4 linked regions of the Rhinolophus ferrumequinum genome follow. The protein of the gene in region 1 interacts with the protein of each later gene in a pairwise test. Links are inferred from orthologs where the notes say so. Each region holds a gene or a part of one and is shown in the gene's direction. Other genes may lie near its edges. The genes, in order: zinc finger protein RFP, ARHGEF5, TLE5 and SCNM1.

Region 1 (7,665 bases):
CAGGGCCTGTGACGTGACACAAACTGCTAATGACCTATCAGTAGTCATTCTCACCTTCTTTCTTCCTTGCTCACAAACCCTGATTTTTACCTTGGTTAGCAAAGTGCTCAGCGAAAGACTACACTCCCCAATGTCCTTTGCAGTGGCCAATGATACTTACGTGGAAGCTGTGCAGTAGAAGAGCCTTTTGAGTGGGGTCTTCAAAGAAAGAGTGATGATTTGTCCCAAATTTATCTGGAACATTTCCTATTTGTACCTGTTGTCCTTGTATAATTATTAAAAGCACCCTGCATAGTATTTTCCTTAACTTGTCCCCTACCAAAGCATATTTATGTTGGTTTCAGTATTTCACAAATTCAAACAATGCTATAATGACATCCTTCTATAATCAAGCACTTTTGTGCAGATGGGAGAGAAGTAGAGCAAATGGTTCAAAAAGTTTGGGCATTTAAAAACATGAGCTATTGCCAAATTATTCTCAATAATGTTCTTCCAATTAACATCCCCATAGTGGACTGGAATGCCTATTTCCTTACATTCTCACCAACACTATTATTGAGCTTTTTGATCTTTACTAATCTCATTAATTGAAAGCACCACCACATAATTTTATTTCATTAATAGTGAGTTGGACCTCTTTTCACATTTATTAACCACTTGTTCTTTTTCCCTGTACCATCTGTTCATATCCTTTGTGCTTCCTCATGCCTGCTTTTTACTTAGATTTGTGGAAGTATTTTTGTCTCTCAAGGAAATTCATCCTGTCTTATTTGCTAAAAATAACTTTTCCCAATTTTCCTTTATTGCTTGACTGTTTAGAGCTACTTTTTTTGTATAGAAGTCATTTTTTACTTTTATGTAAATCAAATTTATCCATTTGTGGCTTCTGGGTTTGGGATCATGTTTGGAAAGAACTTCCAGACAAGAATTATTATTATTATTTTATTATCTTTTTAAAGATTTTATTGGGGAAGGAGAATAGGACTTTATTGGGGAACAGTGTGTACTTCCAGGACATTTTTTTTTCTTTCCCAAGTCAAGTTGTTGTCCTTTCAATCTTAGTTCAGCTTCAAGTTGTAGTCCCTTCAGTCTTAGTTGTGGAGGGCACAGCCCAGCTCCAGGTCCAGTAGATGTTGCTAGTTGCAGGGGGCGCTGCCCACCTTTCCTTGCGCCATTTGAGGAATCGAACTGGCAACCTTGTGGTTGAGAGCCCACTGGCCCATGTGGGAATTGAACCAGCAGCCTTCGGAGTCAGGAGCACGGAGCTCCAACTGCCTGAGCCACCTGGCCGGCAGATTATTATTTTTAATCAGTCAGTTTTCTTTTTAAAGAGCTTTTATGGATTCACTTTTTTTTAAATTCAAATCTTCCATTGTCCTAGAATATATTTTGGTATAAGAAGTAAGATGGGATCTTTTTATGTTTTCCCCCAGCTAGCCAGTTGTTCAGATCATTTACTGAATGCGTAACACCAACCTGCAATTTCTCCTTCATCTTTTACTAAATTCTTATTCACATTTAGGCCTACTTCTTAGTTACTATTCTGTCCCTTTGCTCTACTAGCTTATTGTTACTTTAATTATTGTAGCTTTGTGTTTTTCCTGACCATTCTTTTTGTTTTCCCAGACTAACTTTAGTATTACATGGTAAAGGCAGGTAAGAGAAAAGACGATAAGAGGAAGCAGAAATACCTTAGGCCTCATTAGGTCCTACTCAGTTTGGTGCCAAGAAATAAAACCAATCCAAGGAGAGAGGAGTCAACAGTATCAAATGCCTCAGAAACAATAAGATGCAGACTGAATAGTGTCCTCTGGATTTAGCCCATACTTTTAGAAATCACTGGTGTTCTTAGGGCAGATAGGTTGTGTAGAGGGGGTAGGTAGGAATTCATTTTAAAATAAAACGTTTTATTAATAAAAATTGTATTTTATCAGATAGGTTTAGTTTCTGTTGCATATACAGACAATCCAAATAAGTGGCTTAAAAAAGACAGTGGCTTTACTCTCACTCACATAGATGAAATTTGGATGCAGTCACTCTGCAGTGAGTAAGGACCTAGGCTTCTTTACCTTTCACTACATCATGTTAGTGATGCTTTCCATCTTCAAGATTGCCTCATGGTCCAGGACAGCTGCCTGAGCTCCTGCCATCATGGGCACACTCCAGGCTGAAAGAACTTGGAAGGGGTAAGTTTAAAAAGGGCATACTTCTCAGCTGAGTAGACTTTCTTTAAGAAGTTTTCTCAAAATTCCCATCCAAAAACTACCATGTAGATACCATTGGCTACCCACAATCTCAAGACTGTTGAAGTGTGAAAGAAGCTCTGGGTGAGGTAAGGGTGTTCCTAGGAATATCCGTAACCAGCCAGACAAGGTTTCATATTGTAGCATTGCCTTTTTGAATTTACTACAATTCTGGCAGCAAAGGGGCCTGGGAAGTATCTTTCAGCTGGACATATTGCTACCTGGAACAAAATTTTAAGTAAAGAGCGGACACTGGCTATAAAATAGTCACCAATAGTCCCTTTCATGTTGTGTTAAGATTGATAGACACTTACTAAAATAAATAGCTGTACCAGAAGTCCCACACTGGAGGGCAGGAGGCCAATTTTCATCTTGCATAGATGATTTTACAATTTTTAGTTAATAATAAATTTCATATAAAATTTTCATATAAGATTTTTGTCTTCTCTTGAAAATCTGAAAATTGGCAATATGCTGGGCCCACATACTCAATGGTCATCTTCAGCTAAATAGAAATGAGCTGCCTCTCAGGAGGGACATTTTTCCTCCAGTTAGTCACAGTCCCCATCTTTCCCTATTGATTTGACCTGCTCATTTAAATTACCTTCTTGTCTCCAGCAGGCATTTGTGTTTGTACCAGTCATTTTATGAATGAATAAATAACTGTTACAAAGAAGTATGCATAAAATGTGACAGTAGAATCATTAATTATTAGTCTAATAATTCAACAAGCATTTAAGTACTGCCAATCTGAGTAAAGCTATGGAAAAGGTGTAATGGAGAACATAGAAGGGCTGGAGAGGAGCTTCTGTCCTCACAGAGTCATTTAAGGACCTGACCTCAGTTTCCTTATTCATAAAGTGCATTAGACAATGTGAGAGCACACATCATTTACTGTTCTAAACTAACCTTAACGATAGGTAAGAATTCCAAAGCAAAGTCAAAGAAAATCTTAAGATGGAAAATAACCCAAGTATCAGAATCTGAGGTGTTACGTGAGCCTCGGAGGCTGATGAGAGAGAGATTGATGAGACCCACTTGTTTAGGTTAAGCTCCAAGGAAGGACTCATGAGTAGGCCCTGGAGAGGACTGTGGTGAGCACAGCCTGGGCCAGAGCTGGGTTGGCAGCATTGTATGAAGACTGTGAATGGCAGCCGACTTGGAGGCCGGAAGTGCTCAGACTGAACTCCACGCTCAAAGGTTTGGACAATGTCCTGGAAGCAAAAAAGCTTTGAAGATTTCTGTGTGAGAAGTGACTAAATGAAAGGGGGCTGTTCAGGATGATTCTGTCCCTTGCGGTTGTTATATATGCATTCACTCAGTTACTAATTGACTTAACAAACATTTGCAAACTGACATTTGAAATAATTTAGGTCAAAGCGTACTATGGAAATGAAAAGGAACAGAGGCAAGCTGATAAAGCAAAGCAAGGATGTCCAAATTCGATCAAATCTAGAGGATGAAGGACAATACTGAGAAAACAGCAAAGGAAACTAAGAAATACCAAGGTAGGGATGAGGGAGAAACCCAAAAAATTTGTAAACCTACTGGACAATGAAAAGAGCCCAGGTCACCGCAGGATTGAGAAGCTCCCAAGACTTTGGGAAAGAACACAAATGTTTAAGTCCTAGTGACCACAACTCCGTGCAGCGGGTAAACGTCCTTAAGGTTAAACAAGCAAAGACATAATGAAGTCTACCTCCTTGGTGCGGTGCAGTTACTCCCATTTCACCAGAGGAAACAGGCTCAGAATAGTAAACAATCTGCTTAGGAAGTAGTTGAACTGGGTTTATCTGACTCTTTGTCCCACAGGAATGTTGCCGTCTGATTAAGCCTTTCTTTTTTGAAACAAAATTGCGAGTGCCTGTAAATGGAGTTGTTTAATAAAGCGACTCACAAACCGGGTGGGACTAGGTCGGCTACCCCTGTCCCTCCAGGGGAAGCCAGGTGCCTGTCCTTCCCACACCAACGCAGAGCCAGTTTGCTCTCGCCGGAGCTGAGTCTTGAGCACAGAGAGGAAATCCAGCCAAAGACTAGGGGTCCAGGCCCGTGGCCGCGGAAACTCGGCGGTGGGCCCGGAGCGTGCAGACAAGGGCTGCTCTGTCACCGCCGCGCCCCGCAGACACCGAATGCCTGTTACCGGTCACCGAGTCTCGTGCTCCTGAGCGTTCCGCCCTAGGGCGGGCGGCCAGGCCTCCTCGGTTCTCTCCCGGAGGAGAGTCCAGGCCCAGAGGCCACGAAATCACGTCGGTGGCGAGAGGCCCGGGCAAGCCCCGCCCTCGGAGCCGCCTCTTCCGCTCTTGCCGGGTGGGGTCTGCACGGCCGCCGGGATCCGCTCCGACGCGGCCACGTTGTCCTGCCTCTGGCGCTCGAGTCCCACGGGGACGCCCGGATCGCTTAGCGGCTGGGCTCAGCGGAGCCGCAGCCTTGGCGAGCTACCGGTGCTGGGCACCGCGGCGCTGGGGGCCGCCCTGCCGCTCTGCGGGCCAGTGCACAGGCGCGTCTGGGATCTGGGCCCGCGAGGCGCCGCCCTCCGCCCGCCACGCTCTCTGCCCCACGCCGCCCAGAGGCAGCGAACCGGAGGGCGCGCTATAGAGTTGGGCGCCGCGCAGAGCTGGGCTCTGGGGCCCATGCCCCTGCGCCCCCGCGGGCCCGCGCTATGGCCTCCGGGAGCGTGGCCGAGTGCTTACAGCAGGAGACCACCTGCCCCGTGTGCCTGCAGTACTTCGCCGAGCCCATGATGCTCGACTGCGGCCACAACATCTGTTGCGCGTGCCTCACCCGCTGCTGGGGCGCGGCGGAGATCAACGTGTCGTGCCCGCAGTGCCGGGAGACCTTCCCGCAGCGGCACATGCGGCCCAACCGGCACCTGGCCAACGTGACCCAGCTGGTGAAGCAGTTGCGCACCGAGCGGCCGTCGGGGCCCGGAGGCGAGATGGGCGTGTGCGAGAAACACCGCGAGCCCCTGAAGCTGTACTGCGAGGAGGACCAGATGCCCATCTGCGTGGTGTGCGACCGCTCCCGTGAGCACCGCGGCCACAGTGTGCTGCCGTTGGAGGAGGCGGTGGAGGGCTTCAAGGTGAGGGCCCGGCGCGCCGCGCGGGAAGGGGCGGGAGAGCGTGTCGGACAAAGGGAGGAGAGATCCAAAGAGGCTTCCTTTTTTCCGCCTAGAAAATGGCTGAGCAGGTCGTGTGGTTCACAGCCGTCATTTCCTCTCTGTCTGCTGCAGAGCCTCGGCACACAGATTTGGGAGGAAAACCTGTAGATTGAGGAAGCCAGAAGCCCCCCCTCCGCCCCCACTCTCCTTTCCTTATTTGCGTCTGTTTACCGGTTCACGGGCACATAAAGACAGCCCACGGAGCCCTCCCCACTCCCGTATAAAAGATGCGTGTAAAACCACGTGCACATCGGCAAGCCTCAGAGACGCTCGTACTCTGTCGCCTCCTAGTTGATCTCAGACACATTAACTGGCTGTATACCCGCCTGGCAGGTAGATGCCCACCACCTACTCGAGAAGCATTTCCCCAGCACTGCCTGTGCTCCGTTCTGTTCCAGAAACTCATGGAAAAGAACACAACTCTTTACTGCTTAAGTTATTTAACCACTTTGAAACTCATAAGAGGTAACACAGTTATTACGAAGATTAAGTTAAAATGTGGATGGAGCCCCTGTGAACTCTTGAACCAACAGACTAGCACAGTTAAACAGTAACACGGAAACGAAGTCATTTCCTCAGTGTGCTACTGTGGAAGAGCTCCAGTTTAATTCCAAGCCTCCTGGTCCTGTCACCTTTCCACTAGGCCATGCAGTAGGCATCCTTCCAGGGGCAGGTAGTTGACTCAGTTTAAGTTACACACAACCTGCCAAAGGAGGGGTGTGGTGACCCCGTGTGCCTGGTTCAAGGACAGGCTGTAATCCCGGACTTGGCTTCAGGAATGTGAGTTGCATGTGTGATAAGCGGAAGAGCCATGCTGATGCTAAGATCTGCCTAATCCTGAACTTCCCAACTGTTTTTGCTTTTCTTAGGAGCAAATCCAGAACCAGCTGGACCACCTAAAAAGAGTGAAAGACTTAAAGAAGAGGCGTCGGGCACAGGGGGAGCAGGCACGAGCTGAGCTCTTGGTAAGTAAGTGTCTTTGGGATTCACAGATAATATCACTTCTGCTGGTTACTCCTTCTTTTGTAAGGCTTAACATTGTCCAGTCAAGTCTTCCAGACTTCTAGGTGAAGGTGGGGAAGACCATATGGCCGTTGGGAACTAACCTGGAGACCCGAGCATTCCCATATTTTTTGGGGAAAGGATGGAAGAGCTAAGGTTGGGAACCCTGGAGAGCCGACCTATCCAAAGTTTAAACTGCTAGCTTTCTTTAGATCACGGGTGATCCTTGACAGAGCTGACATAGGTGAAATTCTCGGGCACAGCCAGCCTCCTTTGGTACCCTTCTGCAGACACATGCCGACAGTGGCTTTGCATAAGCCCCACTGTTGCTTCTTGCTGGAGTGTTCCCTTTCTTGACAACACTTCAATTCTGAGCTTTTCACTTTGTTTCCTTCTTTTAGTCTCCTAAAGCCTTAGCGAATGGCTAATTTATGACAGGGATATTTGGGGGTTTTGTTTTGAAAACCAAAACAAAAAGTAGAGACTTTTATAATAAACACTTACATATCCACAATCTAGTTTTTTAAGCATTTTTTTGAACAATAAATAGTAAAAATTTCTACCCATTAGGAGTATTTGCATGTGAAAAGCAAACTGTTAGACCAGTAGTATATAACACTATTTTGTAAGAAATTTTGTCAGCCTGGCCAGGGTGTCGCAGAGAACTTGTGGACGGGGAACTTATTCCCATGATATCCTCAAATGCCACCACTTGTTCTGCCCACACAAGCTGAGACCTCAGCTTTCCTTGCTTGAAAGTAGGTCTGATGGATGGAGAATCTTCTAGTGAGCTTGAGTGGAGTCAAATCATTATGCACATGGCCTCTCCTCTGTGGGAGGATTGTCAACGAGGGGAGATAGTCCTTCTCTGATCATCAGGGAACCTGGACTTAGGAATATAACCTCTGTAGGCCTTCAGTTTCCTCATCTGTGAAATGGATAGGTTGGATTAGACTTGTTCTTCAGCAAGGCTAGTACTACCCTCTCAAGAATCAAGTGGTTGGGGAGAGTAGGGCAGGGAGGTTACTTGTCCTGCAATCAAGAAACAATCCCATTAGCAGCCGGACGGCTCAGTTGGTTAGAGCACTATCTCTTAACAATAAGGTTGCTGGTTCAATTCCCATATGGGCGGGTGAACTGCACCCTCCACAACTAGATTGAAAACAATGGCTTGGAGCTGAGCTGCAGGTGGGTGGCTGGTTGGCGCAGTGGTTGGGGCATGGTGCTCAAAACACCAAGGTTGCCAGTTTGAGTCCCATATGG
Region 2 (6,937 bases), on another chromosome or scaffold:
ATTATTTACCAGACAATCTGGAAATGCACAACTGAATAAAATGTAGGGGCATATATAGATTTTCCTATGACATATGTACCCAACTTAAAAACAGACCTAAAGGAAAAATTTCCAGAACTCTGAGCCTCCTAAGACCTGGAAAGAGGATGGTCAGGCAGCCAGATCACCAAGGGGCTGGTAGGCCATGCCTGCTGCTGAGTTCGGACTTCATACTTCCAGAGATGAGGCTCCTCTAAATGTTTTCCTTCCGTTTCATTGAGGTCTAATTAACAAATAAAAATTGCACATAAGGTGTACAACTTGATGTTTTGATACACATACACACGTCTACGATTGTGAAATGACCACAGTCAAAGCTAATTAACATGTCTGTCACCTTACATAGTTCCCATTAATTTTCCTTTCCTTCTCTGCCCTGTCTTTACCACGCCTCATGTTAAGCCCACACGTTTTGCTCCTCCCTCAACAGAAGGTGTTCAGGCTTCTGTTTTTGCATGTCCCATTTCGTCTGCTGGTATGCCTTTCTCTGTCCTCCTCTCCACCAGTGAACAGAGTACTTCAGACAAATCAGCTCAAATAATCACCTGATCCTTCAAGCCTTCTCTTACTCCCCAAGCAGTGCTCTTGTCCTTTATGTCACCATTGCACTCTGTGTACATCTCAACACAATACATCACACGCTGCTGTCATTATTTGCTACTTGTGTCTCTCCTCGATTAGATTGAGAGCTCCTTGGGGGCAGAGACTTGGTTTTTGTATATCTGGTTTCAAAAAATGCATATTGAGTAAATGAATGAAAGAAAAAAAGTGGATGAAGCAATTAGTATTTGTACCTTGAACAGCACTAAATTTAGGCTAGTGCCAATGTGCAAAGGTTGAGAAAAGAAGTTAAGGGGAAACCAAGGATGAGAACAGAAAAAATACGTCCCTCGGAATGGCACTGGATAGCTAAGAACCCCTCGGCCAAGTCAGGCTGGACTTAAAGGAGAAAGATGGAGAGACCATGGTCGGTCAGGTTAAGGAAAGAACTGAGTTCAAAATCCGTTCAAAAAGTTCAAAGGTGAGTCATGGGATCAGACAAAAGGCAGAGTCAGAAAGGCCAGAGCAGTTTTTAAAGAACTGGCACCGGAACCACTGAGAGTCCGAGCTAACCAAGTGGGGGACCATGTGGCCAGTAACATGGGATGGTGTCACCAAAAGGATGTCTGGTCAGGGCAGTGACAGCCCCAGGGATAACTCTATGAGGTCCTGCTTTAAAAGAGATCACTGTAATCCCTTTATCAAAATATGGGGGTAGGGTGACAGGCCTAATTAAGAAGCCCAGGCACCAAGAGCAAGCATCAAGAAATGGGAAAGAAAGAAAAAAAGAGAGAACCATAGTTTGCAAAGTGAAGGGTAGAGGAGGAGCCCAGAGCAAGATTGGTTCCCACATGCACACACCCTGCAGGCAAGGGTGCTCCATGGGATGTTCTAAGTGATAAGTGTTAATGTTCCTACATCTCACTACTACTTGAAAAGTCAGCTGAGCCTTGTATGCTTAACTCTCTGGACAATAGCCCAGAGGTCATTGAATCAAGGGTGGTGACGCAACAAAACAAAAATGCTGATAGGTCAGAGCTGGTAGAACAAGAGGAGGTCAAGTCTATGAGACCTGAGAGAGAAAACAAAGGGATAGAGAGGTATAATCAAGGAGAATCAGTGGAGCTGGTGTGGGGCAAGGAGAAGAGCCAGGCTGGTGTGGGAGGCTGGCCCAGCACCGCCGACCACACCGCCCTCTCCTGGTAGGCAGTATGGAGCATGGCAGACATCAGCCACTGGTGCCCAGGGGTCAGGGGGTTTACTAACTTTGCTCACCGAGACCCTGGACTGAGTTTGCTCTCCCAGCCTAGAAATAGAGACACTTCTAGCTTAAACTTCTTTTTATGACTTTATGAAAAAAATGTTTCAAGTATAGTTTGTATAAGATACTATATTAGTTTCAGGTGTACAATATAGTGATTCGACATTTTTATACCTTACAATGTGATCACCCCACTAAATCTAGTAATCATGTCACCGTGCAAACATATCACAATATTATTGCCTATATTTCCCTTCCCCTTTTCACCCATCCACCCATCCCCTTCTCTCTGTCAACTATCCCTTTGGTCTCTTGTTTCTATGAGTCTTTTTTGTTTTGTTTGTTCATTTGTTTTCTTTTTTTTTTTTTTCATATTCCACACATAAGTGAAACCATATGGTATTTGTCTTTCTCTGTCTGACTTATTTCACCGAGCATAATACCCTCTAGGTCCTTCCATGTTGTTGCAAATGGTAAGATTTCATTCTTTTTAATTGCTCATAATATTCCATTGTATGTGTGTGCCACATCTTCTTTATCCAGTCACCTATCGATGGACACCTAGGTTGCTTCCATATCTTGGCCATTGTAAATAATGCTCCAGTGAACTTTCTAACTTACTGCACTCCCCACTTTCAACCCCTTTCTGAACATATGACACGTGCTAGGCCCGCTGTCTCCTAGCTGAACTCCTAGTCCTGGCTTTCCCTGGGTGTTTCCCACACCTACATGGCAGCTTAGAAGAGGCGGAAGGCTGCTGAATGGTGGAGGACTGAACCCCTCCGAGCAGCATGGCGGAAGTAGCACAGAAATTGAACACAGACATGTTTCAGGACTTGATTGAAGAAGACACCATTCTGCTTTAATTACGCTGTACCCAAAAGCCCCCTTCAAAACGGGGGTAGGCATGGCCAGCCGGCATCTGCAGCAGCCAATGGGCGCAGTAATCTGCAAACAGTCTAACCCTCTAGCCATTTGGGCTTACAGATCAGGGCATTCCTGGAAAGATTCTACTTGACTTACAGGAGCAGGGAACCGCAGGGAGTCATGAGTGAGGCTGGGGTGGTCTGACTAAAATGGACCTACCTACCTAGAATCTCAGTGCCTAGGTGAGCGCTTCTTACTGTGTGTGCGCACCCGGCTGTACCACAGAACCTTCTGGCATTGTTTGAAGTCTGTGGAGAGGAATAAAGATAGACCCTCAGCTTTGCACTCGAGACCAACAGAACACAAGCTTTCCCTGAAAAAAATCTGGAAAAAAATACAGGCATGAAAAAACACACGGGCCTGAGACTTAGGCTTAGATAGTGCAACACAAACACACACAAGCACAGAGGTCCTGGGAAGAACAGAGAAGGAAAACACACCCCGGGATGTATAATGATCCTAAAATGAACTCAGAGAATACATAGAGGAAAGACATGGCATGCCGTTTTAGAGATGTCATTCCTAGGCTGTACGAGATGGCCTTGTAGGGGGAGGCAAGGAGAGAGAGGACGGGAGTGAGGGAGGGAGAGGGAGAGAGAGAGACAGAACCGCAGGACAGGAGCCAGCCAGCCAGCAGGCTACACCCTTCCTCATAAGGGAGAGACAAGGAGACATTAAGGAAGAGCAGTGAACAGGGAGGCCTGGAGATAAAGATGCACGTACAAACACAGCGACTCAAACATTCAGAGACTCAGATAAGCCCAAGATAAACACCGACGGAAGGCAGATCAGCAGGGTCCGAGTCAGGCTCAGGTGAAGACCTGGAGCAGTGCAGGGGAGAAGAAACGCCCAGGCAGACTGCCGAGCCACACAAGGACACGGGAGAGGCCCCACTCTCTCCCCTCTTTGTCCCACTCCTTCTGGTCACTCCTACCGGCCCTGTCCCCTGTCCCCTGCCCCCTGCCGCCGCCTGCCCTGGGCTCCCGCCCGGGTGACCCTCCCAGCCGGGCGCCACTTCCCCGCTCTGACGCGGGAGCTTCTTTCACACCAATGGGGCAGCGGCGCAGACAGGCCCTGCCCCTCCCCCAGGAAGGTGTGTCCCTGGTTTCCTCACCTGAAACTTCCTTGGAGAACCAGATCCCTCCCTCCCGGCCGGGCGGGGAAGGGCAGGAGCGGGTGGGGCGGCTAAGGCAGCCCAGGCCTGCGCAGGGGACGGGGACGGGGACGGAGACGCGACGGGGCCGGCCGGCGCCTGGGACTCGGAGGGAGCCCTTGGGCCGAGACAGCATGTGACACTGCCCAGGTGGGTACCCTTCTCCCTCGCAGCTCCCGGCTCCGGCAGGCGGCTGTAGAGACCCGGGGGAGGTAAGGGAGGGACAGGAAAGACAAGGAAACTAGGCCTTCACTCTGGGACCAGCCCCTGCTGGGTCCCGGGGCGCAGGCTCCGGAAATGGGGGGCTGGGCGTAGGCAGAGTTCGGGGCGTGTGACGGAGTATCCTAGTCGGGAAGAGGAGGGAAGCTGGAGGAAATGCTCTTGCCTGAAAAAGTTGCTTCCGGCCTGGTCCCCGCCTTGGAAATGGGCACCCTGCCCCCAGATGTTCCCCAGGCCAATAATAGGAGCTCTTCAAAGTCAAGGTCCTGGGGAAGGCTAAGCCCTATAATAAGGAATAACTGAGACCCCCTTTGTGGACCTGCTCCCTACGTAGAGATGTTTTACTGTCTGCTCTTTCTTAACTAGGCCCCGGCCTCCTTCCCCTGTTTCCTGTGGATTTACACACTGTATGTCTAAGGCCATACCTCTCCCAGGCGAGCCAGGCTCTGAGGAAAAGTGACTCCTGCCCCTCCCGCCTCCTTCCCCTTATCTGGGGAGTACTTCAGAAGCTTCAGGTCAATCACAATATTGCCTAGTGAACGTGGGGAGGCGGGGAAGGGAGCTATTTAGAGGTGGGGGTTGGGTGGGGGTGGGGCTCTAGGTCTGAGCATCATTTATAAGCAAGACTGTCCTAGGAGAGCTAATCCTGATGCCACTTGGCTTTCAGATTTCAGTCCCGGCTCCCCTTCCTGGATCTCTGATTCCTGAGACAGATTTGCCCTCCTGTCTACCTAGAAGTGAACTCTGGCCAGGACTCTTGTCAGATTGAGGAGGGAGGGTGTGTCAAACAGATGAGGGAGAGCGGCTGGCTTTCATTTCTAGTTTCTTCCCTCTTTTGCTTCCCCCGTGGCATTCTAAGGCCCTGCGTCCCTGGCCTACTCCAGAAATCCCAGCTCCTAGCGACACTGCTCCTGAGGTGGCCTCTTTCTCAGACTTCCTGTTTTATCTGTACCTGGAGTGTGGAGAAAGTCCTTGCCTATGTCTTAGCAAAATGGGGGTCAGGATGGATGTCTGTCATCACCCCAGTGGGGAAGAGAGAGGGGCCAGGAGGGATGTAAAGGAATCCCTCTTATCAAAAGAACAGTGATTGTAAACACAGTCAGCTTCTTCACCTTAGGGGTCCCTAGAGTGTATGGCTGCCCACATTGTGGTCTGTCTGAGGCTTGCTATGGGATAGACAAGATGATGTCATTTGTGGTATCTGGAGTGGCCAGTCACCACAAGGTGTGGAAAGAATGGGTCACTCACAGGGTCATGGATTGAACAAGAGCAGTGTTACCCAAGTGTCAGTGGTGTAGACCCAAACAGGTGGCTGACAGCATCTGGATCCCGGAAAGTCACTCGCCGTGTCTGGAGTGAACAGGGGCTGGCCATTCAGAGTGTGTGCAAGGTGGGTGAGACCTGAGTCACCCTCAGGTCTATGCTGAGGACACACACAGGTCACTCCCACTCACATGATCTGTGTGGGTGGCAGCTGGGCCACGGTGGGCTTGTGGAGTATCTGTCAGCATTGCCACTAGGGGCATTCTGTGTAAGCCCATCTGGGCTACAGGGCAGCAAATGAGGTGGTATTTTCAGACATTAGGGAATAGATATGGATGTTTGTTACGTTTTCACTGGGATGGAGGGTAGGATTTCCTAAAGTAGACAGAACACAGGTCTTCACAGCGAGTGGTCCAGATCGCTACTCTTATTTTTAAATCTTTGTAGTGTTGGGGCAATAATGTCAAACAGTGAATAAAGGCATATATCTATGTGGTATTCTTATTTTCTAAATCAAAATGAGAACCTGTCTTTTGACTTTGGGGGTATTTTCTTAAGATAAGCAGCAGTATAGACGACGTAGTGTAAATGCAGAAGTATTGTCACCTCAAAGAGCATTTCAGTGATTTGTGGTGTAAAGCAGAATTTTAAAAACTGACGCTGCTCGAAAATCCAGGAAGCATGGTTCTCACCATTCATGGCAGTCAACATGGGTTCGAAGAAGAAGCAGTGTGATGGAGGTGGGCGTGGACTGGGGAGGGGGGGTATCTTTGAAATACAATTTTTTGTCTGGAGACTAGAAATGGACAAGAGCTAAGGTATTGGGGGCTCCAAGGGAGAAATTGAGCTCTGTCACACACTGCGTTAATGAGGTGACTTGGAGCTTTGTGTTGAACAAAGTCGCGTGTGGAACTGGATCAGTGGATGCAAACTGTCTCTGGCCGGTCTGATGCGTGTCTGTCTGCATGTGCTCAGTTAGTGATTATTCACTCCCAGTAGAGAAGGAGCTAAGAGGCAACTCTGACGTAATGAGCAGTGCACAAATCTCTGTCCTATGTCTTTATGTGAGTAAAACCACGTTTTACAGATTTCCTTTTTAGCTTTGTCATGTGCTAGGTTTGTGGTGCCTGACTGTGATCAGATCACTAGGACCATCAAGTGAAGGGACATGGTGACTGAGCCGGTGACCCCTGACATTTCCAAATGGGTAAAGACAGTGTTAGAAGTAGTGTCAGTGGGGTTGCAGGAGGCAGCCATGATTGTGTCACTAGAATGGAACTGAAGATGTCCGTCTGTGGAGCGTGTGTGTGTGTGTGTGTGTGTGTGTGTGTGTTGCCTAAATATAGCAGAAACATGCTTATATATTTAGAGACTGCTTGTTTTGATGACATGACGGTGTATATATAGGGCCAGGAGAACACACATGTGGGTGAGGGGAGACTACAGATTTAGTTACACAGTCTCCTCAGACAAGTAGGAGCCAAGTTTCAGAAAATGTTTACAGTGAGCAAGTATATTATTTAACGTGTGGTCGA
Region 3 (6,912 bases), on another chromosome or scaffold:
GGCAGGATCTGAGTCAGGTTTTAAAAGCTTGTCAGCTCAGCAAATGGAGGGATATTGGTCCTCCCTAGTCACGGCTGTCAGTCTCCACTCAGAATCATGCTTGGCACACAGTAGGTGCAATAAATATTTACTGAGGGAATGAATGGATAATAGCTCCATTTGGGAGTGTGGGGGGGGACCCAGAGTGGTAAAATCACACGGCCCCAGCTCACCCAGACAGATTATAACAGACCAGGGGCTGACCCAAGAGCTGGACAGCTGAGGTCCTGGCTCCGACAGGCCTATCAGAGGGAGTCCCCGTGCCCACACTGCGGCCACCTGTTTCCTCCCCTGCCTGTGATTAATGGCCACGCAGCCCCATCCATCACGCGCCAGCCAGCGACTGGCTCTGCCGGGAGGCCACGGGGCCCAGTGCTCATTTGTAAGCTGGCTGCGAGGCTGGTCTCAGCCGGTTGCTGACATGAGACAGATCCCCGCCTCAATTTGGCCTCAGATGTGGCCCTGAGAACCCCAGGGAAAGGCAAGACCAGGATGTGGACCCAAGGAGTTGGGGATGAGTGGGGGCTGAGGGGTGTGGAATGGCAGCTACCCAGAGAGTAAGATCTTGGAAAGCCCCAATTCCCCCCAAATTAATGACATAATGCAGACTGTTCCCTCCGGAGCTGCAGTGCTCCGCCCTGCCTTTCCCTTCCTGCCACGTTCTGTTCTTTCCACCCAGCCATCCCCAAAAGCTCCCGCGCAGTGGCCCAGCCTAGCCTGCCCGTCTCCTGGAGCTCAGCTTGGGCATCCCCCTGATCTACGGGCCTCCCGCCTTGCCTTCCCCCATTGCTACTACCAGCAACACCTTCTATCCCCGGCCCTGGCAGTCTCTCTCTGTTGCTCTAAACCAGGGCTTCTCAACTGGGGGGAGTTTTGCCCACCCCCACCGCCTGGGACACTCAGCAATTCTGCTTCTCAGGACTGGGTGGGAGGTGCTCCTGGCATGGAGTGGGTAAGGCCAGGGATGCTATTCAACACCCCACTGTGCCCAGGACGGTCCCACTCCAGAGAACGATGCAAGCCAGCATGTAAAGAGTGAAGACAGAAATCCTCCTCTAAAACCTCCCCTGGCTCCCCAGTGCCCTCCAGGTAAAATCCTATCTCCTCATCCAGAAAGCAGGCCCTGTAGCATGCTGGCCCCCAAGCCCTCTCCAGCCAGTATCCCCCATACCCACCTCAAGCCCCATCCGGAGGGGCAGTAACGCATACTGGTCAAGCGCCCAAGTACCTGGGTTCACATCCTAGCTCTGCCACCTACCAGCTGTGTGATTTTGGGCAAGTCACTAAACTTCCCAGTGCCTTGATTTCTCCATCTTTAAATGTCATAATGGCAGTACCTAGGGTTAAAATGCTTAAGGTAGGGCCTGGCACATAGTAAACACATATACAGGTGGGTTAATTTACTTTATTCATAGGTTGGGTCACACTTCTGGGCTTTGCCACATGCCAAAATTTCAGTAATTTTCCTGAAAATTACTTTTTCCCGATTACTCTCCTTCAAAGGCAAAGCCCTGAGTCCCCCACTGTGGCCTAGTCCTGACCCCACTGTGCTGGGGGTATGTGTGTCCAGCTCTGGGGTCTGTTAACACAGGAGTTTTTGGTCACCGAGTGCCTGCCCAGGTGAGAGTCAGACGCAGGTGGCCTCCCAGGAGAATGGGTGTCTGGTCCCCGTGGTGTGTGTGTGGGGGGATGTTGGGGGCAGGGCCAACTTCATGGGCAGGTGACTCATGCACTCATAGCGGACCCCATGCTCTCCAAGGAAGGACCCTGAGCTTGGTTTAACGCTCTGTTGCCACCATATTGAAATTCCTAATCATTTTTGAACAAGAGGCAATGCATTTTCATTTTGCCCTAAGCCCTGAAAATTCTGTAGCCTGTCCCAATTGGGGACTCTCGTGTGATTTGTGGGGCCTGCGCATTCCACAACTCTACAGGAATATTGAAGAGCTTTCCAAACTTTGCTCCTTTTCTCTTACAGCGTCAGGACTAGAAAGGCCCTGCATTTTGGTTAACTCATCTCCAGCTCATTGGATCCTGTCTTTATTTAAAAGGCTGACATTTTGCTCATTATGCATTTTTACTTTTTATTAAATTTATTGGAGTAACATTGGTTAATAACATTATATAAATTTCAGGTGTACAACATTATAATCCGCTATCTGGACACTCTATGTGTGCTCACCACTTGAAGTCTAGTCTCCTTCCATCACCGTGAATTTTTTTGGCATCAGTTTTTATTTATAAAAATAGTGCTTTAAAGTATTATTTATCTTGAAGGATATTTTTAATTTTGTTTTGTTTTTAGGGTGAGGGGGGTCTTTAAATTTTGTTTCTTCATCTCACCCTCGTCCTGGCCCCTCATCTGCCCGGGAAAAGTGACCAGGGTCCTAACTTCCCATTTTATAGATGGGAAAACCTAAGGCTCCAAACAGTTATTCATCTGGAGAGGGCTGCAGAGCTGGTGTTGATGACATGAGAATTAAGAGGCTGTGTATGTAACACTTGCCAGGGGTTAATGTGCATGATTTCAACAGCTTCCTTGAGGCCTGAACTCCACATGGCAGCGAGAGAGAATCTATCAAAATCTGAGTCCGGTCCAGCCCCTCCCCTGCCTACAGCCCTCTGTGGCTCCCACCACGGCTGGGTAAAATCTCAAGTCCTCCCTGTGGCCCACAAGGCCCTGCACCATCTACAGAATTTGCAGTCCCAATGCAAACCGAAACTTTGAGGCCCCCTTGATCAAAAATAATTAGGAATTTCCAGACCACAACTGTAGATCAGGAACCCAAGCACAGGCTCTTCTGGGAGCAGGGCCCGTTTGAATGCTGGAAGCTGCTGGCCCTGCCTCCCTGCCCTCATTTCCTCCCAGGCTCCTCCGAGGAAAAAATGGGGCTGCCTCCAGGCCTTTGCATTTGCTGTTCCTGCCTCCTTGAATAAGCCACCATACCCCATACCTCTGTTGGCTCCCTCTGTCACCTTCAGGTCCTCTTTGCAGGCAAGGAGGCCCTCTCTGACACCATCTCTGTTTAAAATGGCACCTTCCTGGTCCTCCCCCTGGTCTATTTTCTCCATAGCTGCTACTACCCTCTGACCTGCCAGAGTTTGGGCTTGAGTATTTGTCTCTCGCCTGTCTCAAGTCGTCTCCACCAGGGTGGATACTTTGTACATCCCCAACCCACACCCACATCCTGGAGCAGGGCCTGGCACACAGTAGGCGCTCAATAATGTGTTTTGGAGGAATGGCTCCCAGGAGGCCAGCTGTATGACCCCCGCTGTTCTGCAGAAGAGGAAACCAAGGCTCAGAGAGCACAGCCAGAGAGCCAAGGTTACAGAGCATGTCCCTGGCACGCGTCCAGGTCGCGCCATGACAGTGCCGGCGGTTTAGATGGGGGCCGCCAGGCCCCTTTCTTTGACAGATAGGGAAACCGAGGCCCAGGCGGCCGCTAGGGCCACCCAGCCCGGAGGGGCGGCGTCCCGGCGCGCCAGGCGGGGGCTGAAGCCCCGGGCGGGGGCGCGCCGGGCCCAAGGTCACCGCGCCGGCGGCCCGCGGGAGGCGGGCTGGGTGGGGATCCGCAGGCCTCCCCGGGCGCGCGCCCCCCCCTCGGCGGCGCGCACGGGGCCCAGGCTGCAGCGGCAGCGGCAGCAGCAGCAGGTGGAGCCGGAGCTTCCGCGCAGCCGAGGCCGCAGCCACTGCCGGCGTTGCCGCCATTAGACAATAGGAGCGGCGGCCGGGCGTGCGGGGAGGCGGGCGGCGGGAGGGGCGGGGAGGGGCGCCGGGCGCGCAGGAAGCGGGGCCCGGGGCGCGCCGGGGCCGGGCGCGCAGGGAGGGGGCGCAGGAAGCGGGTGAGGCCGGGCGCGGGAGGCGGCGGCAGCAGCCCCGGGAGCTGCCGATCGGCGCCGGGACAAAGGCGCGACCGCCCGGCGCCCCGAGCCGCCCGAGCCGGGGCGCACAGCCGGGGCGCAGCCCGCGCCCCCCGCGGCGACTGACATGATGTTTCCACAAAGCAGGCATTCGGTAAGCGGGGACCGCGGCCCGGCGTCCCCCCCCCCCAGGTCTGGGCCCTGCGCGTGCCCCAGCTCCTGGCCGGGCCATTTCCCCCCATCCGCTTTCGGCCCTGCGGCCCCCCAGATCCGCACCTGGCACCCCCACTCCGGGTCCGAGCCCTGCGCCCCCCAGTTCCCCGCCGGGCCATCCTCCCCCCAGATCCGAGCCCTGCCATGCGTCCCCCCCCCCAGGTCCCTCCTTGCTCGGCACCTCCCCCCAACTCCAGGGCCCGGTCCCCTCCAGCTCTGGGCCCAGCGCTGGTCTTCCCTCCCACTGTAGCTCCTTGTCCCCCTCCAGCTCCCGGCCCGGACTCCCCCAAGCTTCAGGCGGGGTCCTCTCCAGCTCCCGGCCCGACTCCCCCAGTCCCTGGGCCCTGCGGCCCGCCCCCCACCAAGCCAGGCTGGGCCTGGGCAGCCTTGGCCTCGGGCCTGGGGCTCCCCGGGAGCCCCACCAGGCACCTCTAACGCCGGGGCTGCTTTCGGGGCCTGGGAGTGGGGGTTGATCCGAGGTGCATCTCTCCCGGAAGAGAGCGGCCTGTTGGGAGGGTACTGGGAATCTGGGATGGAGCCCCCACGGAAAATTTCGGGCGCTGAGAGGGCCCTCTCTTAAAGGACTTTGCAGAGAGACCTCGCTACCCCCCACTTGGGGACGGGGACTCCCTAGGACACGTTGTCCCCTCCCCGAGGCACTTGGGGCGCTCCGATGTGCACCCCCACCGGAGCATTGGAGCGGCGGTAGAGGGCGCACCCTGCCCCCCACCAAGGGCGGGCCTTGAAACGCACCCCCACAGCCTGGGGGTGGCGGGGGACGGAGCGGCTCCAGGCGCACCCACCCCCTCCACTTCCCCGGGAGAGGCGGGGGCAGGAAGCGAGGGCGGGGGCCGCGCCAGGGGCTGTAAACAGGGGCCCGGGAAATGGGGCAGTGTCGGGGGGGCGCTGCCGCTGCCCTGGCCGCTGCCTCCCGGCGCCCAAGAGGGAAGTGAACGGCCGACCCGGCGGCCCAGCCCTGACCCGGGACGCCCCCTCCTCGCAGGGCTCTTCGCACCTACCCCAGCAACTGAAATTCACCACCTCGGACTCCTGCGACCGCATCAAAGACGAGTTTCAGCTGCTGCAGGCTCAGTACCACAGGTGAGCTGGGGTCAGGGGTCTGTACCCCGGGAGAAGGTGGAGCCCCCTGCGCAGTTGGCTAGAAGGGTGGAGGTGGCGGCCCCTGCTTTGTATATGAGTACTTGAAAAAATATATGTATTTTCGTAGTGCAAATTGTATGGCAGGCACTGTCCTGAGCACTTTATCGGTATTAAAATCGTTTAGTCTTCCAAACAGCCAATTTCACAGGAGAAAAAGGAGGCAAAAAATTAAATGATATGCCTAAAGGCTCAGCTGTATGGCTTCAGAGGGCCGCTTCCCACCCCCACCCCAAGCCCCACATGATTAAAAACCTCCCAACAACTGGATTTGGGGGATAGATCCCCATACCTACCAAAATTAAAAATAATCGAAAAAAATTGCCCCAAAGACAAAGTTCTGCAGCCTGTTAGCCCTCTCTGCCCAGTTCTGGGGAAAGGGTTCCTGGTCCAACTATCTCAAGCATGGTTGTTCCAGAATTTAACATTTCCAAAGGGCTTGCCATGTGCCCTGATCTAAGGGGAACAAACTGTTATTACCTACGTCTTATCCTTGGAGAAACTAAGCCCAGAGAGCTTAGGGATTCCTAGGGGATGCACAGCAAGGAAGTGGCAGCAGACCTGAGATTTGCACCCAGTTTCTGAGTTGAAGAATGCAAATTCTCAAAGGCCCTGCTATGGAGGGGATCAGTAGGGGTCCCTGCCCACCAATTTCAGGGAGGTCTTGGGCTGTCTCTGAACCTCAGTTTACCCACGTAAAAAGATCTTGGATTTTCTTCAAGAAGAAAAGGGGAGTACGGATGTATATTCTTTCTTTTCTTTTTTTTTTTTACCATCCAACCTCTTGGGGTACTTCCCATGCTCCCCAAGTGTTAAATACTGAACATCTTTTGGTTTAATCTTCCTTGCTGTCTTATTATTGTGCCCATTTCAAAGATGAGACAGAGACGCTGATGGTGGAAGGGCAGGCCCAGGAACTTTGTTCTGGTCCTGTGATGTGGAGGGTTAGGGGCTTTGCCTGGCAGAGCTGGCCTTTCTGAGCCCCTGCAGTGGGTCCTCCCCTCCATGCCTGGTCCATGCCCACTTCACAGTGAGCACTGGGGCTGCCAATCCCTGATCATTGGTGAGAGTGTTGTTACAGTGCTGTGTGTCCTCGGGTAGGCCAGCCCCCTCCCCCCCCCGAGCTTTGGGGTCTCCATCCACTGGGCCTGGGCTTCCTACTCTACAACGAAGAGTCCTACCATGTTGGCACACAGGATCTGCCAGACCCTCAAAAAAGGCCAGAAAGCCAGAGTTTGGGATGAAATTCCTTGTCTGTTCTTTCTAATGGTGGCAACAAATGCACATTTTTTAAAAATTAGAGAAAAAAACTCAAGGGGTCACGTCAACCCCAGCTGTGACTCATCTGTGAACTGGGGTGTACAGTTATGGTCAGTCTAGCAGAGTGAAACACCAGGTTCCTGGGGTGACCAAGAGAGCAACAAGAATTTATTGGGTGCTTACTATACGCCAGGCGGTATTCAGAGAGGATTTCTGGTCTTAATTCATTTCATCCTCATCACCTGACCCCGGGAGGTTGGTATAGGAGGTTGGTACTTAACAGGCACGGAGACCAAGGCCAAGAGGGGTAGAAGGGTTTGCTCAGAACCACACAGCATCAAAGTAGCAGGGCTGAACTTTGAACCCAGTCGGTATCTCTTG
Region 4 (7,105 bases), on another chromosome or scaffold:
AAATTAAAGCTGAAAACAATTAAAACCATGTATTTGTTTAAAAACAACAAACCCATTACATGTTAACATAAATATTTTAATGAAAAATAACTGTATTTTCCAAAACAACAAAAAAATGTAGCAAGAAGAGAGGCACTGTTTTACATTTTTGCAAATCACATTAATGTGTGACTTAATAGAAGACAACAGGATTCTCGTATCTGCCCCTCCATTCAATCTGTTGCCATAACATGTGATTCAGCCTGTGGGAAACACAATCCACTCATGAGAATGAGAACGAACAAGGCAAATGAAGTCTTTATTACTTTACAATTACTATGAAAATAGTTTTGACTTTGTGGATTCCTGAAGAGTCTCAAGGACCCCTAGGCGCCCCTGGACGTCACTTTGGGAACTTCTGTTAAAGATGAAGGAACTGAGTTGCCTAAAATAATCTAGCAAATGAATGACAGAGCTAGGGCCTTTTCACTCCTCTGGGACTGCTTTCCACAGTACAGTAGTAATCATTTCATTGACCAAATGTTTATTTAGTAGCTACTTATTCATTACTGAACATGGTGACAGGTATCGCCATCTATCTACTTGCCTCCCAAGGTCGAAATATCAATGTCACCCTTAACTCATACTTTTCTGTCATCACCCAGACCCAAGTGGTCAACAAAAGTGCTGCAAAACTCTCCCTCATATGCGGTTTCATATTCACTCTACTGCCATTACCTTAGAACAACTCTTAATATGTCTCATCTGGGTATTACAAGTTTTTTAACTGGTCTTTCTCCATTCCTCTTCACCCTCCACCCTGCTGGTATCTATCTTTCTTAAAAAAATGAATCTGATCAACCCATTACCCTGCTTATAAACCCCCTGTGGCTTCCCATTGGCTGAGATAAAATGCAAATTAGCATTCGGGGCGTCCTCAATCCAGCGCCATCGGATGTCCAGCCTCATCTCTCTTCTTCTGCCGCCTATACATTTTGCCATCCTGAACTTACCATACCCTTCTCAGCCTGGAAAACTACTTATCAACTATCACTCCCGTTGTGTTACCTTCTTCAGGGCTCTCAAAGCATACTATAAATATTACCATAATAATGACCAACATATTATATTGTTATTCATCTGTTTGCATATCTGTCTTGCCCAAACTCTGTAAGTCCTTTAAGGGCAGGATGGTGACTTGCTGTCTCTATATCCCTAAGGCACACACTTGGCACACAGCAGAGGCTCATTAATGCTTTATGAATAAACAAACTAGATAATAAAATATAGAAACCATGGATATCGTATATCTGTATTTTATTGTCAGAGGCCAGGCAGCCAGTTTTTCTAAAAACTCACCCCATATTGTTATCAGTTTGGGAAATCCTATTTCTTACACCTATCGAGTATCAAAGGTGTTTCCATCCTGGGGCGAGACGATTAGAATAAACTTGACTAATAAAATATTATGCTATAAGGTGTTTAAAAATAAAACCAGATTACTGTGAACAATCAAAGAAGTTAAAACTGGCTTGTAGTTTTGCACTTTCACTTTGTCTAGATAACATCCTAAGTCCCTTTGAGCTCCAAGATACTATGAATTAATCTGTGACTTTTCTGTTGCCTTTGTTATTTCCTAGAAGTACCATATAGGAGGGGACATCGTTCCACTCCTAAAAATGAAGGACCCAAGGTCAAAGTCCAGAGGAGTCCTAGGCCACGGAGCCGATCTTTAAGAGCTAGAAAGGCCATTAGAATCTAGTTAGTTTAACACAGGAGTACAAAGTGAGGGTTTTAGAATGAGCCAGCCTGGTCTGAATCCTAGCTCTGCTGATTAGACTAGTTGTGTAGTCTATGGTAAGTTATCTCCCGAAGCCTCAGTTTCCTTATCTTTAAATGAGACTAGTTCCACCTACCTCATAAAATCTTACGAAGATAACATGAGATACCATATAGAGTTTGGCATACATTAAGTGCTCGTTGAATGATAGGTAGGTAATAACTTAGGTAATTATCATTATTTAATACATCTTCCTCATTTTACAAATGGTGAGGAAACTGAGGCCCCAGACAGGGGAAGTGACTAATGCAGCCACTCAGCTGGTAAGAGACAGAATGAGGCCAGAACGTGGAATTCTTCACTAGACTACAGAGCTTTTCTGTACTCAAAAAGGTACAGGGCTGTCAGAAATCCTCAATAAATAAATCTTGATTCACGAGTAGCACTGTTCCCTTCTCTGCGCAGTTCCTGAGTCTCTACTGCGATGGACGGTCTGCTCAGTACTTTCATATCCCCTTCCTTTGTTCAGACCATGCCCTCTACTTGAAATGTTCACTTTCCCATACTCCCAATCTCCATGTGTGAAAATCTTAGCCGTACTTTCATTCACTCACAAAACATCTATTAAGCTTCTGTGTGCTGAGGACTATACCAGACTCTAAGATATAAAATGGAAAGGAAATAGTTCCATCCCTGAAGAAGGGTATAGGCTATTGAAGACAAAGATGTAAAAGGTGTAAACAACTGGATTAAACCCTAGGTTTGTAGAGAGGAGCCTAGAGGAAGGAACTTCTAAGTCTTTCAAGGCCCTTCATGATGGCGCCCTTGAAATCTTCACTGATGTCCAACTTTGCTCCCTTCCAAATGAAAAGTCATCTTCTTGTCTGATGTCCCACCCTTTGTTAACACCTCTACAAACTCACCACGTTCTGTCACCTACAGTCACTATTTGTGTCCCTGTCCATTTCTCACTGGACTGGAAATTACATGAAGGCAACAACTATACATTTTATGTTTCTATCTCCCAAGATGGTTACCACAGTGCTTTAAACTTCCCAAGCATAACAGTGTAGGCCAAATTCAACAGGAGATGGAAAAAAGAAAAAAGAAAAAGAAAAAAACCTCATCAATTTTAGTGCAATATATTTTCACACCTGTTAAGTATACTCTATGCATGACCTGAAATACTTGGTGTACAGAGTACCTGTTTTGCACCAAAGAGGCCACCTTCCTGGAAAGAAGGCAGAGCATTGAGGGGGGAGAAAAGAATAAGAAGAAATTGGCACTTTAGGAACTTAGAACTGAAAACCAGCTCTCCATTATTTGCCGTAAATTTTTAATCATTCTCAATTAAATAGTTTCTATGTGGTTCATAGTACGGACTTTGGAATCAGACAGACCTGTTTGAATTTCCACTCTTACGCTCATTCGCTATTCGACCTTGGTCAAATTGATTAACCAATCTAAGTTTCAGTTTCTTCATCAGTGAAAAGGGGACAACAATTGTATGCTTATGGGGATGTGAGGATCAAATGTGCTAATGTATGTAAAGCTGCCAGCATCTTGACTGGTATAATAAATGGGAGCTGCCCCTTTCCACTGTGATAATGGGACACGATGTGTCCCCATCAGATAGTGCAACCCTGAGATGGGAAAAGAAAACGATAAAGGCAGATCAGACAACACAACACATTAGGGAAATTTCAGGGGAAATTGCCTAGAAGCGCCATGACATTCTCCAGAGGAATAAATCTCTTCTAACTAGTTGCCCACATCTCAATCCTGAAAAACTCACCGTCACCCCGTATTTGAGTGCTAGTCCAGCCAGGGTGTCTCCGGGCGCCAACTGATGCTCCAGGCGTCTTTCCCTCACTGGGGAGCAGGCCGACTGCACCAGGCTTCCATAAGAACGAGCTCGGCTCCCTTGAAGCAGTCCTGACCCCCCGAGGGGGGCCTGTCTGGAGGGAGAAGCCATCTCCACACACTGAGGGCAGCTGGGGTTGCAACTGCGGGAGGCCAGGCTAAGCGACCGATAGTGACTGGCCGGGCTCTGCTAACGACAACCAGGGATTCCTTTCACTTCTGTCTTCTCTCCCAAGTCTCCCCCAGCACTAGGCTCCCCCCTCTCCACCCTCACTTCTCCTCCCTCCAAGCTCCTTTCCCCCAGATCTATACCCTGAGTATTCAATCCCTACCTGAGTCTCCCGTTAGTACCCCTCCAACTTTCGACCTTCTACAACTCGCGGCATTGACCTCTGACCTTTGAACTCTAGACACCTTTCTCACACTCGGCTCAGTCGGCCCCCAGATCGGGCAGCCCTGCCTCCCGGCCCCCCCCGAACCCCGGCTCCGCCCCGTCCAGGGGTTGGTCTAAATGCGTGGTGATCAAATTAGGGCCCACCCAGGTGGGCTGTCACCGCCGACGAAGCGCGTGATGACTGCGAGAGTTTGAAGTACACTTTCCACTCAGAGGTCCTCAGAGGCTCCCTCCGCATCTCAAATTCGGGCTCCACATCTAGGTTCTTATCCCTCCAGACGCCTCGAATATGACAAGATGCAGGAGCCTGGATCCAGCTCTTCGAAAAAAGACTTCATTTCCCAAAAAGCTCCGCGTCTGCGGGGTCGCAGGGGACGATAGGAAATGCAGTCCCCCTCGCCGGGCTGGAGGCGGGCTTTCGGAGTCGCGCGGGGCATGCGTAGAAACGCATCCCCGGAAGTGAAGCCGACCGGAAAGAGACGGAAGGAAAGGAGACGCCCACCTTGCTACGGTGGCCGGAAAGGAGTGGCGAAGGCGGGGCGGTAGAATTCATTATTTCTGGGACTCACAGTCGTGATGTCTTTCAAGAGAGAAGGGGACGATTGGAGTCAACTCAATGTGCTCAAAGTAAGCGCGAGAGAAGAGCGTCTGGAGCAGCTTCCGCTGCCGTCTGAAGGCCGTGAAACACTTGTTTTGTTGCTCTGGCAACAGCTGGGGGGGGCGGGCCTGGAGGGAGTCAGGCGACTGGGGCTGGGTTGTGAGCCCTTCTCCCTATGATCTCTGCTCTCCCCGTGGTCCTCATTCTCTATAAGCCCTCGTCCCTGTCATCTCCCTTCCCCGCTTCCTCCTATCCCCTTGATGCCGTCCGGACTTCTTCCCCTACTCCCTGCAGAAGCGAAGAGTCGGGGACCTGCTGGCTAGTTATATCCCGGAGGATGAGGCGCTGATGCTACGGGATGGACGGTGAGGGCAAAGAGTGGATGAAGCCAGCGGGTTCTGCGATTAGAGGCTCAGTAAACTTATTAAGGAGGAGAGTGAGGGATAGGGAAGGGGGTGGTGGAGATTGGGGTACTTGGGAGTTGGGCTTCGGAAAGGACTGGCGGGTCAGGGTGGGATCTACCGCAGAGACCCGACTGCCCAGGGACAGTTTATCGTCTCCTCTCCTCTTATCCAGCTTTGCTTGTGCTATCTGTCCCCACCGACCTGTCCTGGACACGCTGGCCATGCTAACTGCCCACCGTGCAGGCAAGAAACATCTGTCCAGTAAGTTTGGGAGAAGACACAGGATGGAGAATAAAGCCTTAAAATGTCTTCAGACCACTCGTGGTGCTCTGCTTTTGATTCTCTTCCCTTTCTCCTCAGGCCTGCAACTTTTCTATGGCAAGAAGCAGCCAGGAAAGGGAATGGAGCAGAATCCAAGACCGCAGAATGAATTGGAGAGGGAAGAGACCAAAGCGGAGGTAATCGGGGAGAGGAGTGTGTGTTCCAGGCAGGACCTTAGGCTTGAAGGGCTCTGGCTTCTAGGAAGAAGCTCTGACTCTGTCTTGATCTCCATGCCAGGCTCCTCTGTTAACCCAGACGCGGCTGATCACCCAGAGCGCTTTGCACAGAGCCCCTCGTTACAACAGTTGCTGCCGCCGGAAGTGCAGGTCTGTGGGGTGGGAAAGCCAGCGGCGGGGAGGGACAAAAGGAGACAGATGGCTCGAAAGTGCTTGTTTTCCAGATTGTGCTCTGAGGAATACTAGGACTCTGGAGATGTTGACTGGTATTTCAGGAAAAAGAGAATTTTGTAATTAAAAAAAAAATGGGGGAAGAGGCGCGCTCGGTAGGATTACAAAGTAGGATACTTTTGAAGAAGAGTAACAGTATATTTTAAGGTCTCTAGAAAGTCTTAAGATAAAGAACTTAAAAAATTTTAACCTAAATCTTTCCTAAATTCATTTGATTCCAAAAGCTTTTTCAGGCAGCACACTTACTCATATCTTGAGGAACACCGTGTAGGAAACACTGCTTTAAGGGTTGGGAGTCATGGGAGAGATGGCTCTTTCCTTTACTGCTCTTACAGACTTTGATTCTTCTCTGCCCAGACCAGAAGCCTCTCGTCCCTCTGTCTCCCGCCCCCCTTTGCCACCCCCAGAGGTGGAACTCCCAAGTGGGCAGATCGGTAGGGACCCTGAGCCTGGGGCAGGTCCACAGGCTGAGGAGTCAGCCGCTGTCTCATCCCCTGCACCTGTGAGCCCCACAAGGAGACGAGCCCTGGACCGTTACCTCACCCTCCGGAGGTATGCACAGTCTACTTTCCTTAGCTTTTCCCTTTTCTCTCTGACCCTCCTTTTCCAAACCTTCTCAATTGTTTTTTCTCGTCCCACTGACTTCTCAATAAACCTCCTCTTGTGACTAGTTCTGTTTTCTCTGATGTTTCCAGCTCTGGATGGATCCCAGATGGACGAGGTCGATGGGTAAAAGATGAGAATGTTGAGTTTGACTCTGATGAGGAGGAACCCCCCGAACCCCCTTTGGTCTGACACCCACTTTTCCCATTTAGTTCACAAATAAACACAGTGGGCGCTGGGAGCCTAACTTGCCTCGAGTCTGGTTCCTTGTCCCACTTCAGGATTTCAGATGTGTTCGTTCTCAGCCCGGCCAGTCCTTCCCGGCCATGTACACAGCTCCCCGTACTTCTGTCCCCTCCCCCACCTCTTACCAAAGCCATGCCAGGCGTCAGCTGCGTCAGCCCGGTGCCCTATTAATAAGTCTGTTAGAAGGAGGTCTTTGCCCTTCGTGTTGTCTGCCCTCCTCCCTACTCCACTCAAAGTCCTTTCCTCCTGCAGATCACATGAGGTTTGTGCATAGAAACTAGGGGGGCCTGGCCACATCGGGGAACAGGGCTGAGGCTAGGAATCCTGTGCAAGTAGACGAAAGGCGTTGGCAGGGTTATGGGGAGCACCAAGGGAGGGAGCTCCCCCACCTCGTCCTCGTAACTTGAACCTCCCTGCCTGCTGATCCCCAGAGTATAAATAATTCCCTGATGAGCTGGCAGTAACCCTTGGGGCTTAGCGCCAAGATTTCCACCCCAAAGCCCAACGAAG

Evidence for each region.
Region 2: the proteins of zinc finger protein RFP (region 1) and ARHGEF5 interact in binary tests that used the Homo sapiens proteins (3 or more experiments, as listed by UniProt). The two-hybrid records come from large-scale screens. The link is inferred for Rhinolophus ferrumequinum from reciprocal best matches to the Homo sapiens genes TRIM27 and ARHGEF5.
Region 3: the proteins of zinc finger protein RFP (region 1) and TLE5 interact in binary tests that used the Homo sapiens proteins (3 or more experiments, as listed by UniProt). The two-hybrid records come from large-scale screens. The link is inferred for Rhinolophus ferrumequinum from reciprocal best matches to the Homo sapiens genes TRIM27 and TLE5.
Region 4: the proteins of zinc finger protein RFP (region 1) and SCNM1 interact in binary tests that used the Homo sapiens proteins (3 or more experiments, as listed by UniProt). The two-hybrid records come from large-scale screens. The link is inferred for Rhinolophus ferrumequinum from reciprocal best matches to the Homo sapiens genes TRIM27 and SCNM1.

What each region holds. Positions count from the first base shown.
Region 1 is NC_046286.1:448,880-456,544, reverse strand, and holds the start of zinc finger protein RFP, read left to right. Parts: upstream 1-4,644; 5' UTR 4,645-4,902; coding exon 4,903-5,322; intron 5,323-6,269; coding exon 6,270-6,365; intron 6,366-7,665. UniProt on the Homo sapiens protein: E3 ubiquitin-protein ligase that mediates ubiquitination of various substrates and thereby plays a role in diffent processes including proliferation, innate immunity, apoptosis, immune response or autophagy.
Region 2 is NC_046309.1:7,307,647-7,314,583, reverse strand, and holds the start of ARHGEF5 (rho guanine nucleotide exchange factor 5), read left to right. Parts: upstream 1-3,934; 5' UTR 3,935-4,070; intron 4,071-4,558; exon of another isoform or gene 4,559-4,654; intron 4,655-6,937. UniProt on the Homo sapiens protein: Guanine nucleotide exchange factor which activates Rho GTPases. Strongly activates RHOA. Also strongly activates RHOB, weakly activates RHOC and RHOG and shows no effect on RHOD, RHOV, RHOQ or RAC1.
Region 3 is NC_046301.1:60,176,290-60,183,201, forward strand, and holds the start of TLE5 (TLE family member 5), read left to right. Parts: upstream 1-3,897; 5' UTR 3,898-4,027; coding exon 4,028-4,054; intron 4,055-5,116; coding exon 5,117-5,214; intron 5,215-6,912. UniProt on the Homo sapiens protein: Transcriptional corepressor. Acts as a dominant repressor towards other family members. Inhibits NF-kappa-B-regulated gene expression. May be required for the initiation and maintenance of the differentiated state.
Region 4 is NC_046305.1:51,216,184-51,223,288, forward strand, and holds SCNM1 (sodium channel modifier 1), read left to right. Parts: upstream 1-4,479; 5' UTR 4,480-4,592; coding exon 4,593-4,643; intron 4,644-4,908; coding exon 4,909-4,979; intron 4,980-5,190; coding exon 5,191-5,279; intron 5,280-5,378; coding exon 5,379-5,476; intron 5,477-5,576; coding exon 5,577-5,665; intron 5,666-6,103; coding exon 6,104-6,298; intron 6,299-6,441; coding exon 6,442-6,541; 3' UTR 6,542-6,601; downstream 6,602-7,105. Other genes in the region: LYSMD1 (lysM and putative peptidoglycan-binding domain-containing protein 1), read right to left, coding at 3,555-3,734. UniProt on the Homo sapiens protein: As a component of the minor spliceosome, involved in the splicing of U12-type introns in pre-mRNAs. Plays a role in the regulation of primary cilia length and Hedgehog signaling.